Diceros bicornis minor: one gene and its partner. The protein of the gene in region 1 purifies or fractionates together with the protein of each later gene. This does not show direct contact. Links are inferred from orthologs where the notes say so. Each region holds a gene or a part of one and is shown in the gene's direction. Other genes may lie near its edges.

Region 1 (10,248 bases):
ATCCACCACAGTCTAGGGACCACCTGCTTTGCCCTTTTGATCCTGAAGATTTAGGTCCCTACATATTTACTACTTTCCTGCAATCTTCCACCAGAAGTGGAAGGCACTGGCCCTTTAAGTAACTGAGACTGCCTGAGAACAGAATTATGGCACCTTAGCTATGGGCCCACTTTTGGCCCTGCTTACAGTCTAGGCTTTGGATTTGGTCTCCTGACTTGATTGTCCTAGACACCAGCTGCCTGACCAGTGCCTCTCCTGGCCTGGCTCTCTGGCACCACCCCACTTGCAAGGAGATTAAAGGCACTTGGGCTGACTATTATTGCTCAGGGTCTGGTGGAGGGGGTGGTGGCCGCAGGCCTGCTGCTGTGATGACCAACAGGACACTCTGATGTGGGATGTGCAACTGATGGAAAGGCGACCTGATCCAGGGAGGGTTGGGAGGGAACTGGGACCCAGAGTGTCAGATGGAGAGCAAATCTGTGGGCCTTTTTAGCCTGGAAAGGAATTTCTCAGGTGGGTCAACCCCACCCATGTTCTCCAAAACTAAGCAGGAAAAGGAAAAGCTGGGGATGCTGTTTGCTCCGAGTTGAAGACGGGGAAGTAGGGGAAGACCCTGCCAGAGTGATGGAGAAAGAACAGTCATCTCCCTTCCCGAGGTCTCCAAGCCTTCAAAGAGACCAGACTTGATATATATCCAGTGCTTTATTAAACATAAATAGTCTCATAAGAGGAGAAGTAAATGTGTCCCCAGGCCAACAGAGAGTACGTGTATGTGTGTTTGAGAAAGAGAGGTGCGAGGTCCCTGATCTGTGCTCTGAGGGGCTGGTCAGTCAGGTGAGGCCTGGGCCAACCAGTAAGGCAGATGAGGGTCCCTGTCCTGCGTGACTCACTGCTCCTGGGTGCCCCAGGAGATGTAGTCCGGCCGCGTGGCTGCATGGTACTCATCGATGAGCTGCTGCACGATCTCCCTGGATGTGTCCAGCTCATCAAAGTTCTCCTTGAAGATGTCCTCCTTACGGAACTGCTCCAGGAAGGCTTCCCGCTTCCGCAGCTTGTCATACTGGCGACAGGTCCGCTCAAAGAGCTTGGGATGTGCAGAAAGCAGGGGTCACAAAGAACTTTCGGGAACAATATGGCCCAGAGAGCCAGGGAACCAAGACTGGGCTCTCTCCACAGTAAAAAGCCAGAGGCAGAGCAGCAGGGATGCAGAGAAGTGAGGCACAACCAGGAAAACGATTACAGGAAAAGAGGTGCAAACTGGGAGACTCACCGAGGAGATGCTGGTGTGGTTGGCCATCATGAGCCCACTGACTCGATGGGCTGAGGGCAGGTAGGGAGACTTCCTTGACAGGGCCACCTGGATGCTGGCTGGGCCCCAGGGGATGAAGTTGGCCAACTTCCGTTCCCGGATCCTCTGCAGGCTCTTGTGGACCTGGGGTGGGCACCGGAGCAATGATGGTAGCCTCTCCTCTATCCCTGTGGGTTCCGAGGGTGAAATGAAGGGGCCTCCCCTACCTGGGTGGGGTCCACCTCCCCCTGGATGATGTTGAGGATGGCGATGTAGCAGTGGTTGGTCTGGCGATCTCGGCCTGTGGACACCATCACGTTCTTGGGCTGCAGCAGCCGCCTCATGACATCCAGGACCGTGGTCTTCCTCACGCTGGCCACCTGAGGGGAGAGTGGGCCACAGGGGCAAGGCCAGCACTCAGGGCACAGTCCAGAGAGAAGTAGGCAACACATGTCCCCCACCAGACTCAGGGTAGTATGGTCTCTTTGGCGAACGTCTTTAGATTCAGGTCTATACTGAGCCTCTGCTGTGGGATCCCTCTGATCTGGGATCAGGAATCTTAGCCCTCCTCAGCTCAGCAAACTCATGCCCCTGTGCAGGAGCATAAGCAGACCCTGCACAGCCCAGGCCCTGCAGGGAGCCAAAGGCAGAGGGAAGAGGAGAGCAAGTCAGCAAGGAAGTTGTACAGTCTGTGCCAGTCCCTGGGCGCAGAGCCTCTGGGGGCTGCAAAGGGCAGCTTCTGGGGCCACAGGGAGAAGAGAAAGCCCAGGTCAGGGCCTGCTGGGCCCCGGGCCAGCCTGGCCTGAGACCCCGAGGGCTGCTCTTACCGACTGGTCCGTGGTGAGGGGGGTGTAGCCGGTCATGAGGAAGTGGAGCCGTGGGGTGGGAATGAGCGAGGCAATGAGGCCGATGAGGTCGTTGTTCATGTAGCCGGGGTAGCGCAGGGTGGTGGTGCTGGCAGACATGATGGTGGACACCTGGGGACAGGGGTGCCATGTCATGGGCCTTGGCCTGGGGGGGCCTCCCTTCCCCAGCTGGCACTCCAGCAAGGAGGCATTCCAGTCCAAACGAGTGGAGGAGTTGGGGCTCACCAGCTGGTTGATCTGGGAGAAGGAGGGGTTCTGGATGTGCAGGCGGTCTGTGGCGATCCGGTTCAGGGCTGTGTTGTCCAGCACCACCTCGGGGGACAGAAGAGGGTGACAGATTTATGGAGACAGAAAGAACAGCAGCTCTGCCTGAGCCTGGGTTCTGAAGCTTAATTTCCCTTGAGCCTCACAGCCAGAAAGACCCATCCAAAAGGGACTTGCACAGGACTGGGGCCCAAGAGGGCTGAAAGTGTTGAAAGAGACAGGGGGTGGGGGTGGGGAATGGTAGAATCCAGGACTCACCACACAGTCTGCGTTCTGGGTCAGCCTCTTGAGTGTGAGCAGCGAGTTGTAGGGCTGGACCACCACGTCGCTCATCTCGTCCTGGTTGGGAAACACTGAGTACGTCTGCACCAGCTTCTTGGGGTACCTAGTGGGGGTTGGGAGAAAAGGGTCAGGGCAACAGACTGGTGGCTTGGTGAACACGGGGCTCCCAGCAACTGTCTGGAAGCAGCTGATTTTGGATGGGGAAACTGGTATGGGGCCCCGGGGAGCAGTAGAGAAGGGAGACCTGACTTTTGGAAGTCTGTAACCCCAAAGGGGGAAGGGCAGAAAGACATCTTAGGATCTAGAGTTCCAACACCAAACCCCATACTCCCTGAACCTTCATCTCTTCATCTAGGGCCCAGATTCGAGGCTCCAGTTTCAACCCCTGGGAGTGTGATCGGGTTCTCAGTCACTCTATCTTGACTTTCCTCACTACAGAAGGGCCCTTTCCTGCTCCAGTGAATAGCAAGGTGTATCTGGAGGGCCTCCAAGTTACTTGGGAAACCAAGTCCTCCTAGCCCCTCAAAACACAGACTTACCTGTCATTCAGCCGTTCTAAGAGGTAGGAGCCCAGGCCAGAGCCTGTCCCCCCAGCGATGGAGTGACACAGCACGAAGCCCTACATGGGGAAGGGGCAGTCAGTGTCTAGGTATCTAGTGTCAGGATTTCAAACTGGACCCATCCCATAATTTCTTGGACTCCTATCTTGCCAAGTTCTCTCCTCCACTTCCCTCCCAACATATACAGCTGGGGAGACTCTGCCTTGTTTCCAGCAAGGCTTCTGTCCAGTGCAAAGCATACATGGGTGGGTCTTATTCCTAAAAGTGGCTTCTAAAGGGTGTTGCTGAGGCTTCCCTATGTCGGCTCCCACTACCATTCCTGAGACACACCTCCAGACTGTCACTGCCATCTGCCTCCCGGTCTATGATGTCAAAAATGTCCTCGTGGATCTTCTCTCCCTGTACAGATATGGGGAAGGTCAGAGCAAGACAGGACCATGGGACAAAGATTCTGACTCTCGATTCTCCTTATAGCACCTAAAAGTCTTTTTTTAGAGCACAGTGGCCCTGCTTTTTATTTGCATTGAGAAGCAGTATAGCACAGTGGTTATGGGCAGGCACTCTACATCCAGAAGGCCTGGGTTCATGTTTAGCCGAGGTGACTCTGAGCACGTTGTGATCTCTCTATACCTCAGTTCCCTCATCTGTATATGAAGGTAATAATACAGGTCCACTCTAAAATCCTTAAGGCCAGTTATGTTTCAGAATTCAAATTTTTCAGACTCTATAAAGGTAACATGGTACATATAATGTATGTTAAGTAAAATGCCAGTGGGAGTCTGAGGTGTGCTAATCAAATACATTAATATTTCTGTGATGAAAGGTATGAGAAATGACAGTAAATTGGATAGAAACTATAAAATAGCCTGTCTCCATTGAGATTGGGTTTTGTTGCTAAATGAGTTATAAATTGTCTTTTGGTTTCAGAGTTTTTTGGATTCTGGAAAGGTAGATAAGAGACTGTGGACCTGTACTACCTACCTCTTGAGTTGCTGGGAGGTTTAAATAAGTTAATATACGTAAAGCTCTTAGTACGGCCTGGCACACAGCACTAGCTAGTGGAGTCTCTTAACAATTTTACATAGTTGACTTAGAAAACAGAACTCCCTTAAGCCATCTCTCTCTCCCTCCAGCACTCATACATCCTTGATCTGGTTTCATCTCTCTCTGGGAAGTCATAGGGCCTGTCCCAACACAGGAAGGGTGTTGTGGGTCCTGCCAGGGAATAGCGAATGACCTGGGAGAATCCGCTGGCCCAGTTGTTGCCAGCCCCTCCTCCATGCTCTGACAGGTAGATGTTCTCTGGGTTGTAGAGCTTGGCATAGGGGGAGTTGAGGATGGAGTGGATCACCCGGGGCTCCAGGTCCAGCAGCACGGCCCTGGGGATGTAGTGCTCATCGTCTGCCTGTCAAGGGGAGTCCAGGAGGGGGCCCAATCAGCTAAGGCCAAGGCCCCCGTCCTCCCAGCTCTGCCTCCTCCCTGCCCTCCCTCCTCAAGCCAGCCGCCCTGGCTTCTCTGCCCAGCAGGTTTCCCAGCACCAGGCCGCTGCCTTCCCTTTAGGACCCCTGGCCAAGTCGCTGGGGGCACCTGGTAGAAAAAGACGTCCTTGCGGTCAGTGCCCTCGGTGGCAAACTCCTCCACGATGCCTTCGGGGCTGATACCATGCTCGGCGCACAGCTGTTTCCAGAACTCGAACCCAACTGGGCGGGGTGGGGGAGAGATGGACGGGGGAGAAAGAGGATACCTGGGTCTGGGCAGGTTCCAACTAGGAGCTTGGGGACTGAGCGCCTGGGTATAGAGACAGGAAGTCAAGCCTCAGGAGTCTCCCGTGTCAGAGGAAAGGGCTGTATGCCAGGACCGGGCAGGGGAGGGCCCCTCGGGGTTGGGCAACTGGACACTGGGTCAGGCATGTCCTGCCTTTCGGAGAACTACGATTCTGGGAAGGGCAGATGGAGTCCAGGATCCCACAGCGAGATCCCATAGAATCTGAGGAACCTGGCTAGTGGAGGGGCCGGAGGTTTGCTCACTCTGATTGCCGCACTGGCCCAACTGTAGGGTGATGATTTCCCTCGGCATCGCTCCTCAGGCACCGGCGTTGCAGCCTCTCCCGCCAGCAAAGCCGCCGCTAGCCAGCCCGCTCGCCGCACGACGCAGGCGCCAAACAACTCGCCCCGCCCACGAACTTTCTCCGCTCCAATGAGAACTGAGTTCTGGCGATGGCACTTCCTTATTCATTTGGCTTCAGTCATGCAGACTGCGCTTGCGCGGCTCCTGATCGGGCTGGGCGCAGGGGCGTGCTTTGACGCAGTGTTCTCTGGATGGACTCTCGTTCGAGTGTGTGCGCAGGCGCGTTGTGAAGGGAAGCAGCCTCCCCCGCCGAATCGCGCATCTGCGCAGTTGGTGTTATTGTGACTGTGGGGCCGCGGCCCCGGATGTTGTGGCTGCCGGGGGGCGATGGCGGAGGCAGAGGGGGTGGACGCGGCCCCAGGCCCAAGTTTGGGCCCGACGTTCACGGGCCGCCGCGCTATGTCAGGCTCCTGGGAGCGGGACCAGCAGGTTGAGGCGGCGCAGCGGGCCCTGGTGGAGGTGCTGGGGCCTTACGAGCCTCTGCTGAGCCGGGTGCAGGCAGCCCTGGTGTGGGAGCGGCCCGCCAGGAGCGCCCTGTGGTGCCTGGGGCTGAACGCGGCTTTCTGGTGAGAGAACTGGACCCTTGGAAACCCTCCGAGGCGGGAATTCGTCAGGTTTCTCTAGGGCTCTACCTCTCGCCTCCTCTGTTTTCTTCGCTGCGCTGGCTCCTTCCTGTACCTGCCTAATTTTGCCCCATCTCCTTCCACTTCTTCCCGCCTGCAGGCTTCGGCACCGCAGTTCTCCCCAGGTCTTCAGTTGTCTTCTCCGCTTTACTGCTCCCGCACCCTCGCCCCGCACATCAGGCAAGAGCTTCTGGTTACGTCTTGAGCCGCTCGCAGTGCGCGAGGGCGCCTCATTTTAGCCAGGGAAAGCTGTGTGCCTTGAAGGCCATAGCCTCCCTTCTCTTGTCTGCTCAAATGTGGTGAGGACTGTCTCCAGATTGTAGTAGTTATTATTGGGGTACACGCGTCAGGCGGTAGGTCTTGAAAAGGTATCCGGAGGTGTGATAGGAAAACCAGCTTGAACGATCTGAATTCGCGCGTTAGATCTTTCTTTCTCCCACTCTAGGAGGTTTGTGAAGTCTGAGCGTCACTAAGCGCGTCCAAAGCTGCAACTTGGAAGAAAATTATAAGCTTTTGAAGAACAGTTAGGAAATAGTGATTGTGCGATTTCACCCGTTTCAAAGCCTCTATGATTGCAACTCCTCCATGTTGCAAGGAATTAGCGAGGCATCCAGCCGCAGTTTATAGGCAAGGAAATTGAGGGTGTCTAATAGTGTGTAAGTTTTCCTGAGCTGGAAAAGTGCGGCTATAAATATGCTTTCAGAATCTGGATGTGTCATGCTCTGTGAAGATGAACTCCTGCTTCTCTCAGTTGTCATTACCTGGAGTGGACTTAGGTCTTCATAGGATCTGCCAGGCATAGTTTGGATTTATTCATAATTAGGGAAGTATTATTGATCTAATTCCAAGGGAGCTGAAGTATAGGGAGCTTCTACAACTGGATGAAATAAGGCTATTCTGGATAAGCCTGAAACAGCACAAAGTATGAGTTCGCAAAAAAAAAAAAAATTGTTTTTTGCTAAAAATAGCTTTCCTCTTGAAATTCTTGGTTTTAAAATCAAAACGTTTATTATTCTTTGTCTGAAAGAAGATTTTTAGTGAGCTGGAGCAAACCCAATAATTCCAAGTTCATTGGCAGGAAGACACAATGTTTAGCTGTTAAATTAATCCTCTCACAGTTTGAAGGAGACTCAGGTGAAAGGTGTCACAGCCATCTCTGACTTCCATAGTCTTTAACAAACTTGACGATAAACTTTTTCTACAGCATTCTTCATTTATTTTTGGTATTGCTTCTTCTTTGATCCCCAGGTACCTACTTCCGGTCTGTTGCTTTCTGTCAGAAACCCTTAACTGTAGCACCTCGTTCAGGAGTGTTTTCCAGAATGACCTTTTCTTCCTTTCCTCCCACCTCCCCATCCCAACCCCTAACCCTGGACCATCCAGTCAAAACTTCCTTTCCTACATTGGGATTGTACTCCTAGGAAAAAAGTGGGTCCTGAATAAACCAGTTTGTATCAAGATGTGAGTGGCTGATATATAAAATTCTTTTAAATGAATCCTGATAAGCCAAAGTTTTATTAATGCAAATGGATCAGTAGCATGTATGTTGTTATTTTTGAGGAGGGGACTTTCCACATGCCCCTTGCCTGAGAGAGAGTTTTGAAGTGGAATGTGGGGTTGAGGTCTGCACACAAGGAGCAGCTCTGCATAAGACACATCTTTAAATGTTACAGTTAGCTTTAATTTGCTGGCCCCCAACAGTGTTTACTTAAGTTTACTAATATGCTATGTTTAGAATCTCACTCAGATCTCCTTTTCCTACTCTGGGTCTCTGGAAGCATTGTTGTGATTGATCTTTATCTCTGGGATTTTCTGGTAGCTTGCGTGCTGTGTATCCAGAGCACAGTTACTCTTGTTATGTTCCCATCACACTTGAAATAGGTGGGGAGAGATACAGCAAAATGAAGGGTGCATCTCTTGAGACTGAAAGAGCAACTGGGTATGCCATTTATGGAGAGGACTTACACCTGTGAAGGGCACAGAATGACTGGAAGTGTTAAGTAAGGCCCCAGAGGCTAGGGTGGTTTGGCGTTGGAGTTCATGGGATTGTTTGTTTTAGGAAATGGGCTTCTTTGGGAGGTAGTTTGAAGTTCAAAATGAAAGTTAGACTTCACATTCCAGTAGCATCATATTGAATATGGGTGTTGACATTTCGCTTAGGAATGTCAAAGAGTGACTGTTTTGTTCTCAGACATTTTAAATGTTTAGGAAACATAGAAGGATCATTGGCTCAGGTCTGAGAGAAATCAAATCTGAAATATTTTATTTTTCTTTCATTATTTGTTTTGAATAATGATAAATCATTAACTGAGGTGTTTTATATATTTTGAGGTATTAGAAGATTGGATAGGAGTACAAAAAAATCATCAGAATTCAGGTAGGTAGCTCTTAACTTTCCATGTTCTGTATTCTTAGTCAACTGTACCTGTGAATGTGCCCTCTTACATCTTAAAAAAACAACAACATAAAAGACAAAGATAGATGTAGATGCCTTGCCACTGTAGTATTTCAAGGTTTTCACTCTTTTTTTTCAGGTTCCAGAGGAATTATGGGTATCATATCAGAGTTCTTCCAACCTATGTTGCTTCTATTCACTGATATGTTCTTGTCTCTAGGATAATAACAGAAATGTCAGGCGTTTCTCTCCAATAGCTTATATTTTCATTAGCCTCAACACCACCTATAAATGAGTGATTTGGGGGAAGAACAGCTGAGTCAGTGAGAGTGTATCCTCACAGGATCAGAAACGAACAGGTTCAGGTAACTTTTTGGTTTGACTCATACCTAGGAGATAGGGGAGGACAAAGGAGCCCTGGAAATGTGTGTGAACCCCAAGCCCTTCTATGAAGCGCATATGGTTCAAGGAGGGCTAGATGACTGCAAAGCTCCTTTCCAGTTTTTAACATTCTGTGATTCTAGATGATCTTTAAATTATTCTCTGTTGGGATCTGCTTTTACAGTCGCTAGTCTGAGTTAACCATACTATATTCTAGGGGATGTTATGGAATCTGTTGTTTTCACAATTGGAAAAAATAAGGTGTTTCCCCTCCCATCTCCGCAAAAATCTCCCCAAATCAATAAAATGACCTGAGAAATGATTAAAGGTATATAAAAATTCTTATTTGAAAGTTTAGAATTTGAATGAAAATGAAAAAGGAACAGGAAAAGGAAGGGAGGGCCCATTTAAGTAGAGACTTAGTGTTCTGTGAAAAAAAATCTACACATCAAATTTCAGATGAAATCTATTGAGCACACGTCTCTGATCATTGTTCTTGTTGCTTTTGGTAGCCAAGAAGATTCCCAAGGATGCCTTGGCTTGCTTTTTTTTGCCTCTCTTTTGCCAACAGTTTTTTATCTGTCCTAATTGTAAGGTTGGGTGCTTTTTGTCCATTAACATAAGGTAGGTTATTAGCAGCTAGCTGGTTTCATTTCTGGTTTTGTGCAAGCAACAACTGTCACTGCGTGAGATAGGTTGGGTTAATTTTTTTAATTCTAATTTACCAGTGACTGGCTGATTAACCAGACAGCCACAGTGCTGTACAATAATGGGCTTTCTGTCCCTATAGGATGGGGTGCTTTGTTCTGAAGTGCCACTGAGACAAGCTTACTCTGCAATAACAAAGGAACCCAGAAATAGTATCTTCTTTGAAAACAGTCATGTGATCTTTATTTTGTTTGTGATTATAGCATAAACTTTATGATTATAGCAAACTCTAATTTACCTGTGCTAACAGTGAGGATCCATAGTATAGTTAACCTCAAAAAAATTGTTTAGTTTTGGAATTTCTCATGATTTTTAGGGACACCAGATTGTTTTTCCAAGGAATATTTTATTTAGACTGATAATTAATTAGATTTTAGCCCATAATAAAGGGGATGGGTGGCTTACAAAAGGACAAAAAAGCCAAAAAATAGTAAATCAGTGGATATATAAAATTTCACTCTCATTAGTAATAAAAAATTCTAATGTAAATGGCAATGAGTTACTAATTTCTGCTTATTAGGTTTTTTTAAATGATAGTATTTAATTCTGGGGAAAATATGGAAAAACAGGTATTTGGCGGGGGCTGGCCCTGTGGTGTAGCAGTTAAGTGCGCGTGCTCCACTGCTGGCGGCCCGGGTTCGGATCCTGGGCGCGCACCGAGGCACCGCTTGTCAAGCCATGCTGTGGCGGCATCCCATATAAAGTGGAGGAAGATAGGCACAGATGTTAGCCCAGGGCCAGTCTTCCTCAGCAA
Region 2 (10,812 bases), on another chromosome or scaffold:
GGGCAGGAGCAGTGGGGATGGAGAGATACATTTAGAAGGGAGGACTGAATGGATGCAAGAGGAAACAGAAAATTTAAATTGTCCTCTATCTATGAAAGAACTTGAAGTCATTATAAAAAATCCTTCCCCCAAAAGAAGACTCCAGGTCCCGATGGTCTCCCTGGTGAATTCTATCAAACGTTTAAGGAAGAAATTACGCCAATCTTACACAAACTGTAATAGGAAGCCTGGACTTGGGGACTGCTCAGCTGTGGGCGAGTGAGGGAGAGAGAGGTGTTGGGGATGGCTCCCGGTTTCCTGGATGGGGTGACTGCGTGGAGCCACAGATGGAAGTCGAGAACAAGGAGGAAGTGGAGGAGCAGGTTCCGGGGTGGATGTGGAGCTCAGTTTTGCCAGCTGGAGTTTGAGGTGCTTGTGGGTGTGTGTGGGCACGGAGGGTGTGCACTGAGGCTCGGGGCTGGGGGAGCATCAGCGTCTGGGGGGACAGACCAAAGCCGTGGAAGGGATTCGGGCGGTGACTGCCGGAGGCTGGGACTCAGCACAGGCTTCCCTTGGGGGAGAGGCCCAGTCACCGGGAGGAGGAGCGTGGCTGAAGCGGCGCTGGCGGGGAGGAGAGGAGAGGCGATGACTGGGGACACCAGGACAGGTGAGGGGTACGACCCCACAGGCCTTGGGTGCCTGAGAAGGGTCAGAGCAACATGGTTGTGAGCACAGTGACCTTATGCAGACATTCTCCTATGGAACAGCCCTTTCCACAGTGGGGGCTCTCAGGAGAGTGTGTTTTAATGCACAACTATGCAGACATCAAGCTGTCATCTTACACCGGGGCTTGATCACCGGGCTGTGGACGAGCTCACACTCTCCCCCTCCCCTGCCTGGCCACTTGCCAGCGGGGTAGCTTCAGGCAAGTCACTTAGACTCCGAGCCTCAGTTCCTTTTGGTGTGAAATGGCAAAATGATAGGGTGCATTTCAGAGTGATTAATTGAGGCAGTGTGTTCAAATTATCACAGTGACCACACACAATAAAAATTCAATAATTGACATTACGGTTAAACAATCGGTCAAAATCTAGGAGCACCTATTTTGTGCTCAGTCTCAGCTTGTATTTGAACCCTGGGGGCAGAGGTGGAGGGAGGGTGATGCTGAGGCTGATTATTAGCTGTGAAACAATGAGAAAGCACCGAGTGCCCAGTAGATGACCTTGAGGGGAAAGGAATACTGTAGCAGACAGCCTTGGTCTTGGCCCAGGGTTGGAGGGGACTGACCCTCTTTCCAAGGGTGCAGCACGGGGCGAGGGCACACGGGCCGCCTGACGCTGCCTCCCCGCATCCTGGCAGCCCCCTCTGCAGTGCACTGCAAGCCAATGGTGGTGGACAGCCAGCTGTATGTGGTTGTGGCCCAGCTGTTTGGCGGCTCTTACATTTACCACTGGGACCCCAACACCACGCGCTTCACCAAGCTGCAGGACATCGACCCGCAGCGCGTGCGCAAGCCCAATGACCTAGAGGCCTTCCGCATCGACGGTGACTGGTACTTTGCCGTGGCCGACAGCTCCAAGGCGGGCGCCACCAGCCTCTACCGCTGGCACCAGAATGGCTTCTACTCCCACCAGGCCCTGCACGCCTGGCACCGCGATACCGACCTGGAGTTTGTAGACGGCGAGGGCAAGCCACGGCTGATTGTGTCTAGCAGCTCCCAGGCGCCTGTCATCTATCAGTGGAGTCGCACCCAGAAGCAGTTTGTGGCCCAGGGTGAGGTGGCCCAGGTGCCTGACGCCCAGGCTGTGAAACACTTCCGCGCCGGCCGCGACAGCTACCTGTGTCTCAGCCGCTACATTGGCGACTCCAAGATCCTGCGCTGGGAGGGCACGCGCTTCTCCGAGGTGCAGGCCCTGCCCTCCCGGGGCTCGCTGGCCCTGCAGCCCTTTCTCGTGGGTGGCCGCCGCTACCTGGCACTGGGCAGCGACTTCTCCTTCACACAGATCTACCAGTGGGATGATGGGCGACAGAAGTTTGTGCGGTTCCAGGAGCTGGCTGTGCAGGCCCCTCGGGCCTTCTGCTACATGCCTGCTGGAGACGCTCAGCTCCTCCTGGCCCCCAGCTTCAAGGGGCAGACGCTTGTGTACCGACATGTCGTGGTGGATCTCAGTGCCTAGGGGGTGCTGAGGCGTCTGGGTTCCTCGAGCAGCCGCTGGAGGCTGGGTGGGAGCCTCTGTGTGAGCAGCATGTGTGCCAGTGTGAAGACACGTGTAGCCAACCTGCATAGGTGCCCTCACGTACGTACACTCCGGTGAGCATGGGCACACACCGTGGACTAGCCCAGGGGAGCCACTTATCGTAGTTGTAATCAGCATGAAGACTCGTATATGCACCAGGCAACCCAGCACCTGGTGCCCTCCCATATGTGGACACCTCTTGACCCCACACTCCATCTGCAGGCCTGCCTCGCTCTGCTGCCTTCCACACGCTCTGGCCCTGGGGGCAGGGTGCTGAGAGGGAGGCTGAACTTCCCCCTCCTGTTCTCCAGCTTATTATTCTGACTCTCTGGTCTTTCCTGTTGGTGCTCTAGGTGTCTGTGTACCTGCTCATGCTCCACATTGCAGCCCACAGCCACATCCTTCATACTGCTGCGTGCACTGACCCATGCTACGCTCCTTCTGCGTGCACATGTGGACACTGACGGCCACCCTCAGGCACATGCACACACACCTGTCTACACTCCTGTTTTCACGTGCACACATGCAGATTCAGCACTGCCTGAAGCTTCCCCTCTGTTACCTTGCCTGTCTTCTTAGAGGAGCACACAGTACCCGTCCTCCTATGCTCACCCCTGGTGTGCCCGCCCTGCGGCTGACACAGATGGGAATGGTGATGCCAGCTTCTGTGCACCAGCTTGACCTCTGCCTGAAGCCCCAGATCCCCTGGCTACTTCCCAGTGCTGGCTCTGTTCTCACCGGAGTTCCCTTCCTGACCCTGAATTGGGCTCGCCCGTGTATAGGAGACCACCCAGATGAAAACCTTTCTGCTCTTCTTTTCTCTAGCTGCCCCAGCCTCGGACCACTCCCTGGTTCAGCCCCATGTTTGGGCTGTGGACCCTGAACTGTCCTGGCTCCTTTGGGTGTGTTCAAGAGCTGGCTGAGCCAGGGACCCTGCAAGCACCTGAGCCATCAGGGCAGGTGCCGGGAGTGCAGCTGGGCTGGAGAGCATCTTGGGGGCCCTGGGACCTCTCTAATCCACAGAGGCACACCCCAGGAGCACTGCCTTTCAGTGCAAGCTGAGTGGTGGAGGGGATGAAGGTCCTATGGGAGTGGCACCTGGGAGCCAAGCTTCTGCTGCCCTCTGCTGTATGCTGGGAATAGACAGCTCTGAGATGCAAGGCTGCTGGAGAAGGCATGGGGTAGGCAAGCTCTTCCCTGTGTCCAGACTGTGTGAGGGCCGCCTGGTGGTAGGATGCCTAGGGGCATTGGTGGGCAATGCCATGATTCACTTGCTTCGAATAAAAAGTTCCCACCCCATTGCTGGCTCTCAGATGTCCAATGGTGATGGTCAGCCGCAGCTGTTGCATTAAGAACAGAGCCAGGGCTGTGCTATCCTTGTTGCTGGCAGGGGCCCTGCATCAGTTTTCAGACCCCCTTCCTCCCTGCTCCCTTCCCTCCAAGGAGTGAGTGATAACCCCCAAGGTCAGCAGGTGCTGGGGTCAGGAGTTCATGGTGATGACACTCAGGTGCTGGGTGAGTGTGACTCGTCTCCACCACCTGGGGCTGACTCACGGCCCAAGTGTTCCTTCCTGGAGATCACAGTCTTGGGTCCCACTGAGACTGGAGTCTGTGCCTCTGTCAGGTCAACTCCAACCAATATGACCCAAGATAAGCGCAGCAGTCCCTGCCGCCCCCCATCCCACTGGGCAGATGTCTGTCACTGCCACCACCCTCTGCCCTAGGGATGAGATTTCAAGCACGTCGACGCATTTCTGGAGCCTCAGCTGCTACTTCTGGAAAGCAGATAATAAAACCTACTTTGTTTAGTCCTGATTCTGCCACCTACTAGCTGGGTAGCCTCGACCATGTTACTTAGCCTACTCATATCTGAGTTTCCTCACCTGTAAAATGTAGATAATCATGATACCTACCTGAAGGGTTAGTGTGAGATTTAAATGCATTAAATATATAACATACTAATATATGTAATGCCCTTAGAATAGTGTGCCTGGCACAGAACTATGATTTTTATTGGTCTGTAGCACTATATGAAATACAGAGGTGGCTCAGATAAGGGTGTTTTGTGGGAGCGGAGGTTGCTCTTTGGGGAGAACTGTCTGTGGATTAGGGGTCCTTATGCATCCTCAGATTCAGCGCCCCTGTACCCTATGTCTTACACCTGTGGCCTCAGGTGTCCAGCCAACCCGGCCCTGACCACTCCTCACAATGGGGAGTCTCATAGGGGACGTGTCTGAGTTTCCACCTCCTTGAACCACGTTCATGTGCTCTTGGCTCAGCAGGCGTCCCTCAGGTCCCCCAGCCCCACTGTCCTGGGAATGTCTGTCCTGCTTTTTCAAATGGGGAACGGGCCTCATGCTGTGCCAGGAAGAGGTTGCCAGGGAAAGAGGGTTGAGTCTCCCAGACACGTTGGCACTTTGTTGCCCAGTAGAAAGATAAATATCACTCTGACTGTACCCTCGCCCCCACCATGACTCCTTCCAGCGGTGGGAGACACTTCTCCCCCTGAATGCCCAGCTTTCTGCACACGAGGAATTGAGCTGTCTGTATGGCTGCCTGGTCACCTGCCCTGGGGGGTCATCCATGTGTCCAGAGAGCTGCTTAGCAACCCAGTGTAACCGAATGACTGTGTCAACAGCTCAGGACCAAAGGCCGTGAGAGGCAGAGTCCACTCACTCTGCCAAAGCCGAGGAGGCTGACACCCCTCAGCTGCCAGCCTCACACCCCTCCATGCTGAGCCCTGCTTTCAGCAGCACACCTCTGACATCTTGTCCCTTAGATGTCCCAAGCACAGTCATCGGCCCCAGGAGTCTCCACGTGAGAGACCTTCCTAACTGGGTGGGCTTAGAGTGGGCACAGGAGAGCTCCTCCCCAGTGAATTGGGGGGAAAGAGAGGCCTGTGATGCTGAGGTCAGGTGTGTGACTCTGGAGGGCAGCTGGTGGAGAGGAGGCAGTTCTGCAGCAGGTACCGAGGACCTGAGGCTCACATGCACACAGTCAGCTCAAGCACCCTTACCTCTGAGGAATGGATGGCTCTTGCTTGTTCTGCAATCCCCTGCTCCTCCTGAGCTGGCCCCCTACTGAGTCAGTCACATCCTTCTGCTGCAAGGAGACAAGAATACTTTTCATCTCGATTACAATGTCTATGCCTAGAGATGGATGGTGGGATCCTAACCCTTGGCGGTTCTTGTTCCTCCAATGTAGGACAGGAGCTGGGCCCAGAGTGAGGGAGCGGTTAGGCAGGTAGAGGGAGGCCTCAGGGCCTCAGGGGAGTTTCTCCTGTAGCCGGTTTCACTGCAAGCTCTCACACCCAGCAACACCAATAAAATTGATGATAATAATTAAGAGCATATAATCACCGTGTGTGTTTATTCCCAAGAAGGCTCCTTTCCCTGGCCCGGTCCTTACCTATTCCATCCCTTTGATAGGTGGTGGGTGTTAACTATGGCTCTAATAAAAAGTAACAACTGCCCCAGTGTCCCGCGCCCACAGCTCTGAGCAGCTCTGCTGTCCCCCTTACCTCAGCCCTTGAGGGCAAGCTGTGCAGGGTTGGGGGATGCTGTGCTCCCCGTCGTCAGAGGAGGAATGAGGCACTAAGCAGAAGAGGAACAAAGAATGCAACCCCACATGGAAAGTTGTAGAAGCAGCAAAGTTTGCCCTCTCTTTTGAGCCTCTGCCGTCTTCCAGGTATACACCTTCCTCAGGGAGGAGCTCCTGGGTTCCCTGTCCCCTCCCAAGGCTGCCCTCAGAGGACTGATCAAGCCAAGCATTTACCCGTTGTCTGGCAACAAGTGCCACCAGGGGACATTGGGCAAGTTTCTTTTCATCACTGCGTGAGCCTATTTCCTAAATGAGAAAAAAGGATCAAGACCTTGCACACAGAAATGCACTACAAAATGGGGATCTTTGAGGTTATTAAGCCCTCAGGGATATTTGTGCTCTTTACTCACAGGAATAGGTGGAAGTTCAGACTTCCGGGGAAGAAGGCATGGGGGGCTGGGGGCTCTGCCCAGAATCCCTGAAATCATCACGGTCAGCCTGCCCAGGAGTGTGGGCCCTGGAAGGGTATCCCAGAGAGAGGTTAACTCCCGAAGTTGAGTCGGATGGGAGATGAGGCCCTCAGGTTCCCTCTCCCCTACTTTCTCCCAGCTTCCCCTTTAGGTCAACTGCACATCTTTGAGGCGTTGACTGACTCCTGACCCAATGGTGTAAGAGCTGATTTGCTGGCGCTCAGCCAAGCCTCCTTCCAGTTTGTGCCTGGGCCTTGAGGGGGGACCTCCGCCCATCATATGCCCTTTCCCATTTTACAGGAGGGGAAACACGAGGCAAAAGGGGGAAGCCAGTGAAGACCCACGGAAACTCAAGTCCACATTTCTTTTTTCCTCCTACTCCCGCCCCATCTTGTTTTTTTTTTTTTTTTTTTTTGCCGCTTCTCATCCCCTAATTTTTCCGGTTAGGACCGCGACTCAACCTAGGGACCCCACACGCGAGGCGGGGACGCATCGCCGCTTTAAAGGGCAGGCCGCTCGCCTCGTCCCGCCCCCCGGGGCCGCAGTGCGCCTGCGTCGGGCCCCGCAGCCCGGGGTTGGGCAGAGCCCGGTGCCGTGCAACTTTCAAGTGAGCTGCAAACTCCGCCCCGAGGCCGGGCCGGTGGCCGGGCGCAGTGGGATCGCGGAGACCGCACGAGTGAAGGCCGCGACCCGCCACTCGCGGCCCGGCCCCCGCCGCGGCGCCCCGCGAGGGCCGAACGCCTGGTTCCCCGCGGCAGGGAGTGTGAGTCGAGCGGAAACTGCCTGGCGGCGCGGCGGGGCAGAAGAGCGCGCCCGCCGGTACCGGCTCCTGAGTCGGTGCCTCCGCGTCCGGCCTGCTCGCCCGGCCTGCTGGGCTCCCCCTTCTTCCGGCTCCCCGCACTGCGAAGTTAGGGGGCGGCGCCCCTCCGGTTCCTGCTCCTCCGCTCACTTCCCCATCCTGGCCCTGCAGGAGCGTCCCTCTGGGCATCTTCTTGGGTGGTCTCCCTTTTCCCCCGAGGCTGCAGGATGGTGTCCTGGATGATCTGTCGCCTGGTGGTGTGAGTATGGCAGCTCTCATATCCCCTCTATCCCGGGTGCCAGCCCGGCCCTGGGGTGGCAACTGGGAACGTCTGGTGGGAAAGGGGGCTTTCTGAGCTCCGTCACACCTGTCCCCTCCCCCGCCCTCCCACCCTCACAGCAAAGGTTAACGGACCTGTGGGCCTGCACGCGGCGTCCAGCACGGCTTGCTTGTCCCCCAACCCCCAAAGCCTCCTTGGCGGATGGCGACCCCTCCCGCACTCACACACACACTGCAGACAGGTGCGTGGGGCGGAGGACCACGGGCCGGACCGCAGCCCTTTGGCAAACACTAGGTGTTGTGGCACGTTGTGGGCGGAGAAGCCGTTGTGGGCCTGCTTCCTAGCTGAGCCATCTGTCACGTGACTTACCACCCTGGCCTCAGCCTCCCTACTCTGTCTTACTCGTCACCTTTCGGTACTCCAGCACCTAGCTGGAATAACCCTGTCTGCAGCCTGGCAGTGCCAGGTCTCGTGGCCCTGGGCCTGACTGCATGTCCATGGGAGGGGACAGTGGTGCTCTCCTCAGTTCAGAAGTCTGCCTCCCACCCACGTTGTTGAGTGGCTGTGTGTGCTCTCTGTTCACCACGTATCCATGGGCCACCAGTGCAGGCCTGGGCAGGCTTAAGATGTTTGTAAACAGCAGGGTGGGGAGGGCAGCTTCCAGGGCACTGACTCAGGTGCAGGTTGTGCAAGCCAAGCGGGAAGAACAGGGTAGGCATTGCCGCCTCACACCGAGGGGGAGGCGGCCATCTGGTGAAGCGTGGTGGGGCATGGTGCCCCTCACTCTCCCCCTCGGTTTTCTGGCTGTTCTTCCAGGCTGATGTTTGGGATGCTGTACCCAGCTTATGCTTCGTACAAGGCTGTGAAGACCAAGAACATTCGTGAATATGTGAGTGTGGGGGTGAGGGGCTGGGCAGGAGGGTTTGACTCAGGTGGGGTGGAACGACAGCCTTGGGGGGGTATGGTAGGATTGGTGGGGTGGGGAGGGTCTGAGCTGGCCTCCCCCTCCTCCAGGGGCTTAATCGGGAGGTGTATCTTGGGTGAATGGCTGTGGATGGAGGGTGGGCTATTGGGGTTCCTGTGCAGGATCTTGTGGGTGAAGCCTATTGGGGGTGGGTACAGGCATGAGTAGCAGTTTCTCAGAGGCAACTCTCTAGCCAGATGGCAGGGGAATGCAGCGGGACATGCTCTCTGGAATCCCTGGGCTGGGTCAGTCCAGGACAGGGGAGTTGGCTCTTCAGGCTTAGCCGCTGGCCTCTGACCTCTGCCCCTGCCCCACAGGTCCGCTGGATGATGTACTGGATAGTCTTTGCACTCTTCATGGCGGCAGAGACCTTCACAGACATCTTTATTTCCTGGTATGGGGGCAGCGGGGCTGTGGGCTGTGGGGAGCAATGGCCCACCCTCTGTCTGGCTCCCTGGCTGCCCTTGTCCCCCTGTGCTCTGACAGGTTCCCTTTCTACTATGAGATCAAAATGGCTTTTGTGCTGTGGCTGCTCTCGCCCTACACCAAGGGGGCCAGCCTGCTTTACCGCAAGTTTGTGCACCCGTCCTTGTCCCGCCATGAGAAGGTACCCCAGGGGGAGGTAGGGAGGGAAGCATAGGGATGGGTGTGAGGGAAGGAGCCCTGGATTCGGGCTTCAGGACACTCGAGGACACCTGGGTTCTAATCCCAGTCCTGCTGCTGTTTAGCTGTGAGACCTTGGCAGAGCCTAACCTTCTTTCTCTTTTGGGATAATCAAGTGGGGGCACATGTGAATGACTTTTTGGGGGTATGACACACCAGCTGGAAGTTGGTTTGGGGATGGTTGGGGGGAGGATGGAGCATGGCCATTCACTGAGGTGTGGGAGTAGGGGAGTGGGTGGGTGGGTGGGGAGCCCTGCTCTTGGTGTGGTTGCCTGAGCACTGTGGGTGGGGGTGGGCTGGGAGGCGTGGCACCCAGTGGCTTCTCTGGGTCTGCAGAGGAAGAGTGACTCCAGCTGTCCACTTGAGCTCTCTTCCTCCCTCATCTGCAGGAGATCGACACCTACATCGTGCAGGCCAAGGAGCGCAGCTATGAGACAGTGCTCAGCTTTGGAAAGCGGGGCCTCAACATTGCTGCTTCGGCCGCTGTGCAGGCTGCCACCAAGGTGCCCTGGGTCCCAGCCCTCCAGCCCCGTGCTTTTTGGGCAAGTCCAGCTCACTGTCAGGGAGCTGATAGATAGCAGCTGTCTGTGCTGGGGAACAGGGGTGAGGGGTGACGGGGGTGTTGGCAGGAGCATGGAGCTGAAAGTCCAGACTTCCCTGGCTCTGCGAGCAGCCGCTCCTGCTCTCTGGGCCTTCGTTTCCTGTTGGTGCCACAAAGACCCAGAGCTAGAAGCTTGCTGAGTTGCTTTCTGTGGGGCTGGTGCCCCAGTGACTACCTGCGGGTCAGTCCTTGACTTCCCTGGGTAGCTGCCCTGATGGAGGTCCCTTTCTGCTAGGAGCCCTCCTCCTCCCTCCAGGTGATGCAGAGCTCCCCCTCCCTTGCAGAGTCAGGGTGCGCTGGCTGGAAGGCTGCGGAGCTTCTCCATGCAGGACCTGCGCTCCATCCCCGACACTGCTGCCCCCACCTACCGGGATCCCCTCTACCTGGAGGACCAGGTTCCCCGCTGCAGGCCACCTATCGGTGAGTGGGCAACTGTCCCAAGAGGAATGGCTTCCTCCATGCAAGCTGTGGCTTCCTGCAGGGCTAGAAGAAGGCCTGGCTGGCCCCAGGCCTTCAGACAGTGTAAATGCGCAGCTTAGCCTTCTGGCCTCCCTCACCTCCACACAGGGTACCGGGCAGTGGACCTCCAGGACAGTGACACGGAGGGTGAGTGTTGGTCGGATACAGAGGTAGTCCCTCAGCCGTCAACCCGGCCCCACCGAGAGAAGCCTCTGAGCCGCAGCCAGAGCCTGCGTGTGAGCAAGAAGAAGCCGCTGGTTCGGGAGGTCAGTGGCAAGGAAGACGCAAGGGGGGCGGCAGCCCTGGCACTTCAGCCCAGACCTCTCATGGTGTGCCTGCTCTCTCTCCCCCAGGGCACCTCACGCTCCCTAAAGGTCCGGACAAAGAAAAAGACCATGCCCTCAGACGTGGACAGCTAGGGTCTGCAGAGCCCGGCCCTCGTGCCCTGCAGGGTGCTGAGGGCTATTTGGAGGGGACCTCTGGCTGCATGTCTGGCCTGTCTGCACCAGCTGCCCAGGCTCTGCCCTCCCAGCTCCTGCTGTTGGTTCAGGCCCAGAGGCAGGTGCTGTCGGGGCCATGCACGGGGATGCACCCAAATGTACCAAAGCAGGCTGGGACCACGGTTCTATTTATTGCCTTTCTCATTCCTCTACCTTCCCAGGTGTGGGACCACAGCCCTCCCCAGACCCTGCAAATGAAACCAAAAGCCCACCCAGCTCTGTTCATTCCTTCCTGTCCTTCAAAGTACTTGACAGCCTTCTCCAAGGCCTTGTGTGTGTGTCCTGGTTGTATGTTTTGTGTTGGTGGATGAGGTCAGGTT

Evidence for each region.
Region 2: the proteins of RETREG3 (region 1) and REEP4 purify together in Homo sapiens (affinity purification with mass spectrometry; 3 studies listed by BioGRID and IntAct, with this or other methods). This does not show direct contact. The link is inferred for Diceros bicornis minor from reciprocal best matches to the Homo sapiens genes RETREG3 and REEP4.

The regions. Positions count from the first base shown.
Region 1 is NC_080757.1:41,681,354-41,691,601, reverse strand, and holds the start of RETREG3 (reticulophagy regulator 3), read left to right. Parts: upstream 1-5,659; 5' UTR 5,660-5,714; coding exon 5,715-5,953; intron 5,954-10,248. Other genes in the region: TUBG1 (tubulin gamma-1 chain), read right to left, coding at 887-1,084, 1,271-1,432, 1,516-1,668, 2,116-2,265, 2,380-2,466, 2,677-2,803, 3,240-3,319, 3,591-3,659 and 3 more. UniProt on the Homo sapiens protein: Endoplasmic reticulum (ER)-anchored autophagy regulator which exists in an inactive state under basal conditions but is activated following cellular stress.
Region 2 is NC_080750.1:71,710,133-71,720,944, forward strand, and holds REEP4 (receptor expression-enhancing protein 4), read left to right. Parts: upstream 1-6,833; 5' UTR 6,834-7,252; coding exon 7,253-7,284; intron 7,285-7,424; exon of another isoform or gene 7,425-7,546; intron 7,547-8,121; coding exon 8,122-8,194; intron 8,195-8,586; coding exon 8,587-8,663; intron 8,664-8,755; coding exon 8,756-8,876; intron 8,877-9,321; coding exon 9,322-9,474; intron 9,475-9,817; coding exon 9,818-9,953; intron 9,954-10,100; coding exon 10,101-10,258; intron 10,259-10,345; coding exon 10,346-10,411; 3' UTR 10,412-10,556; downstream 10,557-10,812. Other genes in the region: LGI3 (leucine-rich repeat LGI family member 3), read left to right, coding at 1,339-2,156. UniProt on the Homo sapiens protein: Microtubule-binding protein required to ensure proper cell division and nuclear envelope reassembly by sequestering the endoplasmic reticulum away from chromosomes during mitosis.